3 linked regions of the Rattus norvegicus genome follow. The protein of the gene in region 3 purifies or fractionates together with the protein of the main gene of each other region. This does not show direct contact. Links are inferred from orthologs where the notes say so. Each region holds a gene or a part of one and is shown on either strand. Other genes may lie near its edges. The genes, in order: Tlr4, Ripk1 and Ticam1.

The links.
Region 1: the proteins of Ticam1 (region 3) and Tlr4 purify together in Homo sapiens (affinity purification with western blotting; 3 studies listed by BioGRID). This does not show direct contact. The link is inferred for Rattus norvegicus from reciprocal best matches to the Homo sapiens genes TICAM1 and TLR4.
Region 2: the proteins of Ticam1 (region 3) and Ripk1 purify together in Homo sapiens (affinity purification with western blotting; 4 studies listed by BioGRID). This does not show direct contact. The link is inferred for Rattus norvegicus from reciprocal best matches to the Homo sapiens genes TICAM1 and RIPK1.

What each region holds. Positions count from the first base shown.
Region 1 is NC_086023.1:85,164,140-85,167,789, forward strand, and holds part of Tlr4 (toll-like receptor 4 precursor), read left to right. Parts: intron 1-2,672; coding exon 2,673-2,839; intron 2,840-3,650.
Region 2 is NC_086035.1:31,074,301-31,078,413, forward strand, and holds the start of Ripk1 (receptor-interacting serine/threonine-protein kinase 1), read right to left. Parts: upstream 2,868-4,113; 5' UTR 2,566-2,867; exon of another isoform or gene 2,511-2,565; intron 1,863-2,510; exon of another isoform or gene 1,694-1,862; intron 1-1,693. UniProt on the Homo sapiens protein: Serine-threonine kinase which is a key regulator of TNF-mediated apoptosis, necroptosis and inflammatory pathways.
Region 3 is NC_086027.1:1,194,869-1,199,121, forward strand, and holds the start of Ticam1 (TIR domain-containing adapter molecule 1), read right to left. Parts: upstream 2,863-4,253; 5' UTR 1,399-2,862; intron 1-1,398. Other genes in the region: Plin3 (perilipin-3), read right to left, coding at 4,020-4,253.

The sequences.
Region 1 (3,650 bases), on a different chromosome or scaffold from region 3:
TCTAGCTTTTCAGCTTTAGCAGAACAAGACATACTATTTGGCTTAAGCAGTCCTCTGTCCCATCAATTAGACAATATTTATCATTCATTCATCAAAAAATGTCTACTGAGCACAGAGAGGTCACTATCCCCCTTTCTGAGCCTCGAAAACAAAATAGCAAACAAAAATCATCAGAGCATCAAAGCTCATGGTTCATTTCATCAAATGAAAGGCATTTGGAAAATATTGTATAGACTATAGATTTGCCTGGCCATCAAAACCTGTGAAGGGAATAAAAGAAGGTAAGAGAAGAGTTTCTGACTGGTGACTTACTCTATTAGATTCATTGTCTTCAAGGATCCTATGATGAGTACTATCTTAGGGTTTCTATTCCTGCACAAACATCATGACCAAGAAGCAAGCTGGGGAGGAAAGAGTTTGTTCAGCTTACACTTCCACATTGATGTTAATCACCCAAGGAACTCAGGACAGGAACTCTGGCAGGTTAGGAAGCAGGAGCTGATGCAGAGGCTAGGGAGTGATATTACTTACTGCCTTGTTTCCCCTGGCTTGTTCTGCTTGCTCTCTTAGAAAACCCAGGACTACCAGCACAGGAATGGTACTACCCACAATGCTCTAGGTCCTTTTTTCTTGATCACCTTGATCACTAGTTGAGAAAATGCCTTAGAGCTGGATCCCATGAAGGCATTTCCTCAAGGGAGGCTCCTTTGACTGTTGTAACTCCAACTTGTGTCAAGTTGACCCACAAAACCAGCCAGTACAAATACAATTTAAGTAGACATGTACGAAGGATCCTGAATATATACAAATTCTTTGACTGTATGTGTATTACCCCATCTTTTTATTTTCTTCGTTTTTAAAGGATTTTTTGAAGATTAGTATAAAATACATAAGATGTAAGTAAATGCTAATATGTAGCAAAAAGTCAATAGTAGCCAATGTTAATTAACATTAATATTTATCACTTTAATTAATGCAAGCTTTGAGATAAGCTCTGATCTCATTTAGCCCTTTGAGAATTCCATTGCTTTTAAATAAAAGAAAACAAAACTCACTGGGTTAAACAAAGCATTTGCTGGATGAAATCATATAGTTATGACATCACATGGAATGCATTGCATAGAATTCACAATGAATGTGAGAAAACAGATAAAAATAGGCGGAGACTCTGATAGAGAACACACTCGACCTTGAGTACTATTTTCCACCACTGGAATCCATGCACTCAAAGACTGCCTCTGATCCCAGTACCAAACTGGGAAAGTCAATGAGCCTAAGAACCAAAAGCAATTGTCAAAAATAGGTCAGTAGCTAGGACATGTCTGTACATTTTTATTAGTATTCTCCATGTGGCTATATATAATGAAGATAATTAGTTAGAATGGCAATAATTTTACATAAAACTCTGTACAAACCTACATGTATTTTACATAAAACTAGTGAGGTTCATAGAAAATATTATAAAAAAAAACTAACCATCACACAAACAAACAAAGCTTTGTCCCACACTCAGTATTCCTTAGTTCTTTATATAGGGTTAAGGACTCCTGTATAGATAGGGTCATGGACTCTGTCCATGGTAGCATGTCTAGTTGTTGTCTTTTTTCAACTCAAGTTAGGCAGTCATGTTAGTAAGACTTTGTGGGTGTAGCTTTTGACATTAGGAAACACAGTATCACAGTAAAGTTCCTGACCTTTTGACCCTCATATTCTTTCAGCTTCTTCTGCTGCAATGATCCCTGATCTGTAGATATGGGAGTTGTGTTGTACATGTACTTGGCTCCAGATTCCTGAATTTTCATTGGCTGTGATTTCTGTAATGATCTTTGTTTATAGTGTGGGAGAAATCATCTTCCCCAGAGAAGAGTCCAGCAGTTGGTTACTAAATACCAACCGGTCATTGCTGAAAACATATATATAAGTAATATTACGCAAGCCGACCAGGTAGTACTTATATAATACAGGCATATATATATATATATATATATATATATATATATGTATATACACACACACACAAACACACATACACTTACACATAAACATATACATTAATGAAAAAAAGATACCATGGATTTGAAAAAGAGCAAAGAAAAGGGAATAAGAACTTGAAGAGAGGAAAAGGAAAGGGGAAATGATATAATTATAATTTCAAAGAACAATAATATAAAAGATGTACTTTGTACCAAGTGACACAGAACACATGTGATAAAACCAAGGTTTTCAGACTTGACGGTCATTTAACACCTGATTTCACTGTTCTTCATTTAATTATAATTTTGTTGGAGCAGAATGTTAACACGTTGAGAATGCAAGGAACATTTTTTCTTCCTGATATGTAGAATAAGATGTTTTATAAACATGAAGAGGTAGGTAAATGAATGGAGAAGGATGGATATGAGGCCATATCCCAGAAATGCCAGTGCTTGTGTGGTAGAGGCAATTAGATAGGAAGTTCAATGTTATCTTTGACTGTATAGCTAATTTAAAAGAAGACTGGGCTATCTGAAAGCTTGTTTAAAAACAAAATAAATCACGAAGAATGGATGGATAGGTGGATGGTATATTGATTAGCATGTATATGGGAGTTTTACCATCTCATTATTCATCTTTGGAGAGGAGTGGGAACACATACAGTCGAAAAGAATAACATTTTGTGTGATTTTTTACAGGTACTTCCTAATATTACCTACCAATGCATGGATCAGAATCTCAGCAAAATCCCTCATGACATCCCTTATTCAACCAAGAACCTAGATCTGAGCTTCAACCCCCTGAAGATCTTAAGAAGCTATAGCTTCTCCAATTTCTCACAACTTCAGTGGCTGGATTTATCCAGGTAATGAATGAGTTTTATTTGCTGCAGACTGTGAAGTAGTTATTTCTATATCACTGCATTTTTGGCTCAGAAGACCTAGATGTTTCTAAGTAAATTTCCTTTACTCATCTATTCAGTAGACTTAGTCCTTGCTGTAAATCCTTGGGACAGTTACTTTTATTTACCTGGTTTCTATTTGGTAGGCAGCTAAATAAGAATATCAAAGGGCAGTTCTAACTTCTATATTATTTTAAACTATTTCATTAGGTATTTATGGATCACATATTATATGATATACATCTAAGCTACAGAACAAAAATTTATAGATACAAAACCCATACTCCTAATTATTAAGCAGGATAAAAATCTTCTTTAATAAGTTAAAGTCATGTCCTGGTTAATGGACACATAGCACAAATCAAACGAATGTTAACCAAACTAATACTGTAGTTTACAACAAACGTAAGTAATAAAATATGGGAAAATATGGGCAACACAATTTGTCCTTTAGAAGAAGAGCTGTTTTTTTTATGTGTGTGAGAGGATCAGAAAAGATTTTGGTATGTGAGTAGGTTTGCAAGATACCTGAAATATTTAAAATAGAAAAGAGGGTAGAGAATAAGAAAAGCAATACCTTCAGAAAAAGATGCCAATATCCAAGCAATACATCTACTGTGGGCAAGAAATAGTTGCTATAGTACCCAGTCTTAAAGAGTATATTTTTATCAAGCCTTCCCCTCAGGGCTCAGATGACTCCAATAAGCAGTGTCCCCCAGACACAACAGGACTGATGCACATATTCACAGAGACTGGCAGCATGCTCAGGGCCTGC
Region 2 (4,113 bases), on a different chromosome or scaffold from region 3:
GCCATCCCCAAGGAAATGAAGTGGAAAACAGCTCCAGAGTCCTACTTGCTTACATGTTAAATTAGCACTTAAAGACTGAATTGAGACTACCCAGCAGGTCCCTACAGACAATCTATGAGACTGAGAATGGACTAGTGTGGAGACAGAAGGTGTTAATATTACTAGGTGTTCCAGGCCCAATTCCTCCTTTCCTATACATTTTCTGGGGCAAGAAGTCCTGCCCAGTCTTCCTCATCTCAGATATACCCCTCCCTCTCCAGCCACATTCTTTTAAACCCCTAGTCAGGAAGACTAGAAGTTTCTGGTCTGAGTACTCTCATTTCCTGGGTTCCAATCTTAAGTCTTCCTATTATGAGATGTTTACAGAGCTCGCACGTCTCTCCTCAAATAGTTATTTTAAAATCGTTCCTAATGAACTGTACAGAGGCAAAAAACAAAACAAAACCACCACCAACAACAAAACCACCACCACCAACAAAACCAATCAAAACCAAAAAACCTGTTTGTCCTCAGTGCCTGGAAGAGCCAAACACATGGTAAACAATTGTTAAGTGGTAAAAAAATTCTAAAAGAAGAACTATTTAGTTGTTAAATAATAAAGGATATAATAAAACAGATCATAAACTATAAAATGGATTATATGGCAATAAAAAAACAATATAGAGAAAGACACCAAAAATTCACTAACATTGATTTTACATTGTAAGGCAAATTGTTCCTTTCTTCTGTATACTTTTGTTAAGTCAGTGTCTTGTGTGTGCCTAGGCTGGCTTGAGATTTGTGATCCTCTTGCTTCAGTGTTGGAATTACAGCTGTAATTACCATTCCTGGCTCTTTACATTTTTTATTACATTTCCTATAATAAACACAAATTACATTCATAACAAAATTACGTTCTGAAAGAATTACACCTTAACTCAATGGCTGTGTATTCTGAGGATTCGAGTCTGAGACAAAGTTATGCTTAGTGACACAAGCCTTCAAGCCAAATACCAGGAAGGCTGAGGCAGGTGGATCTCTGGGAATTCAAGGCCAGCCTGGTCTTCTATGTAACTGGCTTCAGGATAGTAAGGGCTACACAAAGACACTCTGTCTCGAAAACAATAAACAAACAAACAAAATCATACAGACTTACCCAGATTAAATTAATATTCTACATTAAAAAATATGGGGGTGTACTGACTAAATTTTAAAAACTTAGGAAAACTATGTTTTTAAAAAATAAGTATTATATCCATGTCTATATAATAAGATACATCTGCCAGAATAATATCCAACCAAAGTGTGGGAAGCTATTTTTTTTTTTTTTTTGGTTCTTTTTTTCAGAGCTGGGGACCGAACCCAGGGCCTTGTGCTTCCTAGGCAAGCACTCTACCACTGAGCTAAATCCCCAACCCTGGGAAACTATTTTTGATTCAATTTCCAGATCCTACTGAAGATATTAAGGAGTCACACACTAAGAAGTAATATTACTTCTACAGTGCCCAATTTGTAAGTTGTTACCTTGGACATATTTCTTAATACAATCCTGAAAGCTCAATATCATGTGCAAAATAGCAAAGAAAGAGAAAAATGAAAATTAAAGTTAAGAATTGTTACTACTGTTTTGTCAGTAACACAAACAAAACATCCCGAATTTTACTTAAAATAAGGCTAGTATATTTCTGTATACAATGCAGCTGTGATGGTTCACCTTTCTAACAGGCCTTTCCAGTGGTTACAAAATTACACGACTAAGTCATTCCATCCCAAAGTTCACTCTGCCACTGAGTCTTCATGTGTTAAGAATACCTTTCCGAAGGTCTTTTGTGGCATTTCTTAAAACAGCTTCACAAAATAAAAGAGCAAGGAAATCAAATGATCTGCAAGAGACAATGAATGAGTCACCCTGGACTGCACCATCCAATCTCAGAAGACTCTGTCCAATGTTTAGGTGAGGAGAATGCGGCCTATCTTTTTCACAATTCAGAGAGTGTCTGCAGCAATACAAAAGCAAATGCTACTGAGGACCAGAGAAGCCTTGGATGTTTGATACTAGTCTCTCGTCGAGGTTGTGGATCACTCCTTTTTCAGCTCGCCTCAAAGATAAAGATGAAAGCTACTGACTGCTTTGCAACCTTCTACTGCCCCAAGTACAACAGTAATAGACCCTTTTAAAGAGTTGGTAGGTCCAGGGTTGATAGATTACATTTAGGTAACCTAGTTTGGGCACTAACGCTTCAATAAGCCGTCATCCCTACCAAAATAATAATAATAATAATAATAATAATAATAATAATAATAATAATAAGAGAGATCTGTAACCGTGGTCGCGGCGCAGATGTCCACCTTCTCTGTCGCGACTTGAGCTAAAACTACCTCAAGTGTCCACCCTCCCGCTAGATGACAGCAAGTCCCGCGCTTTCCGATTTCCGGGTACGCTTGAAGTCCCGCCCATCACCCGGTTTCCGGAAACAACGAGCCCCGCCCTCCGGTCCACGCGCAGAAATCGCTCGGCCCCCGCCCCTTCCGGGAATCCAGCTGTTGAGGAAACTAGCGGCGGCCCGGGCCCCGGCTCTGACTTACCTTAGAGGCTTTTCCGCGGCCAAGTACTCCGGCCCAGGTGAGGAAGGACGGGCGGTGGACGTCAGGAGCTGCTCCTCGCTGTGGCTGCCGGGCGGGGATGAACCTGGGCCCTGACTAGGACCGGACGGAGCTAGGTGCTGAAGTGGCGTCCAGCCACGCCCAGGCTCCTCACCGCCTCCCACCGCGTCCACCTCGCTCCTCAGCCGGTTCGCACAGCGGCTGGACTCACGGGAGGTGAGCGGCACCGATACCCGCGCTCCGGAGGCCGCTCTGGGGGCCGCTCCTACGCGTCTAAGGTCTACTGGGGTGGTGCTAGGCTGCGACCGCCCTTGTCTCCGCCTCTGCTCACGCCCCGGGGCGGTGTGCCCGGGCGAGCGCCAGCCTCCCAAGCTGGGCATTGAGCTCTACCGAGAAAGCCAGGTTTGCAGCGCGATGATCCCGGAAATCAGCTAGGAAAATGAATGGTAGTTTTGCTTTGCCTTACAACTAGTTATGAGAGATCCCTTAAAAAAAAAAAAAAAGAGGCGGTCATAACCGCTGTATGTCAGGGCAGAGACCGCTTGGCCGCTTCAAGCACTGCGTGCGACAGTGGCGTTTGCAAGCTTTGTGGGTTCAGCGGTGACAGAACCCCTGGCAAATTATCATTTATCTGTCACGGCAGGCTGTCGAGGAAGAAACGTGATTAATTTGTAGCTCTCTAAAGTGGTAATTGAAATCCCAAGCAAAAAAAAAAAATAAGTGTTACTACAGGTGTCATTAAGAAAGAAGTTGCACGGTAATACAACGATCACTTATTGTCAAAGAAAAAAAAATAGGTCAAGAGAGGGAGAGGATCACAAAAGATACGATTAAGGAGACTTCCTAAACCCTACACACGACCACCACTTTAAGAAACTTAACAGCCATTTTACCAGATACCATGAAAATAAGCATTAAGAAGATGCTCAAGGGGGTTGGGGATTTAGCTCAGTGGTAGAACACTTGTCTAGCAAGCGCAAGGCCCTGGGTTCGGTCCCCAGCTCTGAAAAAAAAAAAAAAGAAGATGCTCAAGGTCCTAGGACACTAGGGGAACTCAAATTTGATGTCAAATACACATAAAAAGCCTCCAAATCCCAAACATTCACAGATGTTAATGAAGACATACAATAACTGAAAATCGCTTATATTCTTGCAAATAATGCAAAACCTTTATGGTTACTATATGATTTAGTAGTTTCACATACAGGTATGTACCCAAATAAACATACATCTACTGTATAAACACATGTACTTAAGTTGGGTTTTTTGTTTGTTTTGAGTTATTTTGGGGGTGGAGTGCGTGTGGTGTGTGTGTGTGTGTGTGTGTGTGTGTGTGTGTGTGTGTAAAACTGCACATAATGTGGAGGCCAGAAGCCCACCTCCAGAAGCTCCTTACAATTCACCTTTTTCTTTTCCATACATTGTCTTACTTTTGACTTTAGCTTGTGGAGTGGACTAAGCAGTCTGCCCAGTAAACTGCAAGAGCGTGTCTGTCTTCAACTCCAGGAATGTCGCCATAGCCAGTTTTTT
Region 3 (4,253 bases):
ACAGAGTTCTAGGACAGCCAGGGCTACATACTGAACTCTGTCTTGAACAACATGAACAGGACAGTGCCTGGTACACAGCTAGTGCCTAGTAAGTGCATACCGAGGTCTGGAGATACAGTTGAGTTGACAGAGTACTTGCCTGTCATACATGAGACCATGTTCAGCCCCCAGCCAGAAAAGAGAGGAAGGCAGCACAGAGAGATGGGAAAGGAGAAAGAGACATAGACAGGAGAGATAAATGTTTATTGACATAATTAAGCAGTGAACAGAGTAGTTGTGTTTTATTTGCTTGTTTCTTGTCACTGAGACAGGATTGGGCCTTGCACTATGTAGCCCAGCATAACCTTAAACTTCTGATCCTCCTGCGTCTACCATGTAAGGGTGGCATTTTCCTCTTGTCCAAGCTACTTGAAAAGCTGAGACAGAAGGATTTTTTTCTTCTTTCTTGTTTGTGTTTTTTGTTTTTCAAGACAGGGTTTCTCCGTGTAGCCCAGGCTGTCCTGGACCTCACTCTGTAGACCAGGCTGGCCTCAGACTCAGAGATTGACCCTCTTCTGCTTCCTGAGTGCTGGGATCAAAGGTGTGTGCCACCACTGCCCAACAACATGAGGATTTCTTGAGCCGAGAGATCAGGGTCAGTCCAAATGAGTTCCAGACCAGCCTGGTCTGCATAGTGATACACCCTGTCTCAAGATAACACAAGTGACAAAAAATAAAAGCACTTATTTTTAAGAAAGAGAGGAAAGGAAAGGGAGAGGGAAAGAGGGGGGGGGAGGAAGGAAGGGAGAGAGACAGAGTGAAGGAAGCGGAGAGAGGTAGGAGGTATGCTCAGTAGGGAGAGTGCTCATCCAGCATGCCTAAGACCCTGTGTGGTATCCCCAGAGCAGCATAAACCAGGACTGGTGGGTGGCTGGGTGAGCGGATGGCTGGGTTTGTGGGTGGATGGGATGTAAATAGGCCTCTCTCTCTTTCTTCCCTGGCCTTCTCCTTAGAATGGTCCAGGGGCCTGTGTTGGGCCAGGAACAGAGCAGACTGCAGAAGCTGCAGCAGGCCAGTCCTTACAGGTGGCAGCTGGTGCCTGTGTTAGTCTGGGGCAGGGGTTTTGACAGAGGACACTGAGGTAGAGAAAGCAAGGGGAGGCATTGAGGGTGAAGAGGGATGGGGGTTCGCTCGCTGTTGGGGCTGGAGGAGACCTCTAGTTAGAAGATCTAGGCATCTGGGAGTACTAGGGGCTGGAGAGAACCCAAGATCACAGGGCTGGGTTGGGGTCAGGAGTTGGATTGCAGATCTGAGTGTCCAAGGGAAAGGGCTTGAGCAACCTGAGGGCCTGCAGGTGGCAGCCCAGCACTCACTCCTGACCCTGTGCCTGCCGTGCTGTCCCCTCTGCCTTCATCCTACCTGGCTGTGGGGGTCCTGAGCTGGTAGATTTCGAGGTCCCTGGTAGCTGCTGGAGGAGGAGGGAGAGTTCGGTTCCACCCCTTCCTCCCTTCCGGGTCTTGTGGGGAGGAGAGGATGAAGTCAGCAGTCTCGCCTGTAATCACATCATCTAGCTGAGCCAGGCCCTGCCCTCCGGCCCAGTGCCCTGGCGCCACGTGGAACTAGGCAGGGCTTGCACTCTGTGGGGCCAGAGCTGCGGAAGAAGGAAGGAACCCTCCACCCCTAGAGAATGTTAAGCTGGCAGCCACAGAGCTCAGCTAGTGACATACTCTGGGGTTTCGCAAAGTACCACGTGGCTAAGTTCACAGGGAGCCTGGTGACTCACTCTTATCAGTCCAGCAGCACACAGGAAACTGAGGCAGGTGGATTGCCCCAAGTTCGAAGAAAGCCTGACCAACACAGAGAGAGCTCCATCTCAAAAATAAATTAATACAAGATAAGTGAACAGAAGTGCTGGAGGCCAAAAGATCTTATACAACTGTTTAGTTGTGAGTATTTCTCAGCTAGGTGGTGAAATTACAGGCATGTTTTAAAACTAAGGAAGCTAGGCTGGAGAGATGGCTCAGTGGTTAAGAGCACTGACTGCCCTTCCAGAGGTCCTGAGTTCAAATCTCACCAGCCACATGGTGGCTCACAGCCATCTGTAGTTGTAAATGATGCCCTCTTCTGGTGTGCACCCTCTTTCGGTGTGTCTAAGACAACTACAGTGTACTTAAATATAATAAATAAATAAAAATTGGTGAAGCTAAATTCTGAAAACAGAAAAGCAGCTATTTACAGAGGACTGTGACTGGGAGGTGGCTGCACAAATGAGCTACCCCTACCCTCTTGCTGGGGATTCTAGTCAGGAGTATCTGCCTTGCATCACTGAACACAATCAGGTATCAGAATGGCCTCTCCATTTTTGTGTTTACATGTGTACATCTTTGTGGAGGTTAACATCCAATGTTTTCTCTTGGTCACATCATTAGGAGACAGCTGCCTGAGTCCAGTCATCTCAGGAGCAAGTTCCATCATCCTCCATCTCCATGTTCCCAGGCCCCAGAATCCAACTTGCTTTTTAGATATTTCGTGTTTGTTACCCAGTAAAGGACACGAAGAGGGAGATGCCTATCCTGTTGTCTAAACCAAGACACAAGTCATACATGTGTTCCCGTCTTAACCGGCTACATCTGCTCACCACTCCTTTGTCCTTTATCACTAGAGTCCAGGCCAGAGTCCAGGAAGGGACCTGGTTGTAAAAGCTGACTCAAGGGCCCTGAAACCAGGTGACCAGGATTAAGTCCAGTCATCCACATTAACTTCTTTCTAACAGCCCAGCCGGCTCCCCCTCGCTTTGTGTTCCCATTCCTATAAAAAGGTCTGCGTAGTCTCTTTGGGAATCAGATCCCAAATTGGCCACCTACCTGCCAGTGCAGAAAATAAAGCTTGCATTTATTTATTTATTTATTTATTTATTTATTTATTTATTTATTTATTTATTTCGGAGCTGGGGACCGAACCCAGGGCCTTGCGCTTGCTAGGCAAGCGCTCTACCACTGAGCTAAATCCCCAACCCCAAAGCTTTTATTTTTAAGCTTTGTCTCTGAAGTGAGTTTTCTTGGCTTCCACCCCAAAGCCAAGAACTCTAAGCACTTTACCACTGGAGCCATCTCTCCTGCCCTGGGTTTTTCTGTTTTGAGACACAGTGTCAGTGTGGCCCAGGTTAATTTCAAACTTACTAAGTAGCCAAGGATGACCTTGAACTCCTGATCTTCTTGTTCCCACCCTCTGAGTTGGGATGACCTTGAGGTCAAGGGGGACAGACATTGAAAGTCTGGCAGGTTCAGCTTGTCACACTAGTTCTTCTCCGTATCTCACAGGGAGGAGGGAAAGCAGGCAGCAGGCTCTTGCTGCTGTTCCCACATGGTCATTTCTAACACTCAAGGTGGGAAGACTTGCACTATGCATAAAGCAGAGATATAAGGAAGAAGGCCCCTCCAGGTATCAGGGTAGCTCAGCTGCTAGGAAGGGAACACACAGCACCCGTCTGGTCTCTGAAGCAGGTAAAATTTATTAAGGCATTATCTAAGGGACAGTGGATTCTCAGCTCTCACTTTCTCATCTGAAACGACTGCAACACTCCAGTTCTCCATCCTGTCACAGTTGCTGGATTCTTGGACCAGGTATCAGGGTCTGTCAGAAAAGCTCTTGCTATTCTGGGCCATGAATGCAGGAAAGAAACTGGAGTGGAATGTCACTATGCCTGATTTACTTCAAGACAAGGTCTTACGTAGTCTAGGCTATCATTGAATTTGCTATGTGGCAGTCAGGCTTTGAACTGACCCTCCTGCTTCTACACCACAGGGCTGGCCCAGGATGACAGGCTTGTGCTATCACTATTCATCATCCTCATTTTTTCAGGAAAACAATTTTTTCCAGAACATTCTAGATTCTAGAAAAAATATTTTTGCTTTAAAAAGACTGATGGGAAAAGGTTAAACACGTCTCATTCAGACTCAGAGTAGGGGAAGACCTGCTGTGCAACAGGACTGTTGGGAAAAGCAGTCAAGTCAGATAGGTGTTGGCCCTGGTCCTTCTCCCTACTTCTCTTCAGGGGCTTTCTCAGTGATTCCAGGAGCAAAGGGGCCCACCAGCCACATGGCTGGAGTGTTCTGGGCCACATACTCCACAGTGTGCTCAAGGGCATCTCGGGCTCTGGCTATGTGCTCTCGAGTTTGGGCAAGAACACTGGCTGTGAGGTCCTGGAAGGAGTGGATGCCAGAGAAGGTGGCCTGAAGGTCATCCACCTGGCTCCGCGCCTGCTGGGCCTGCTC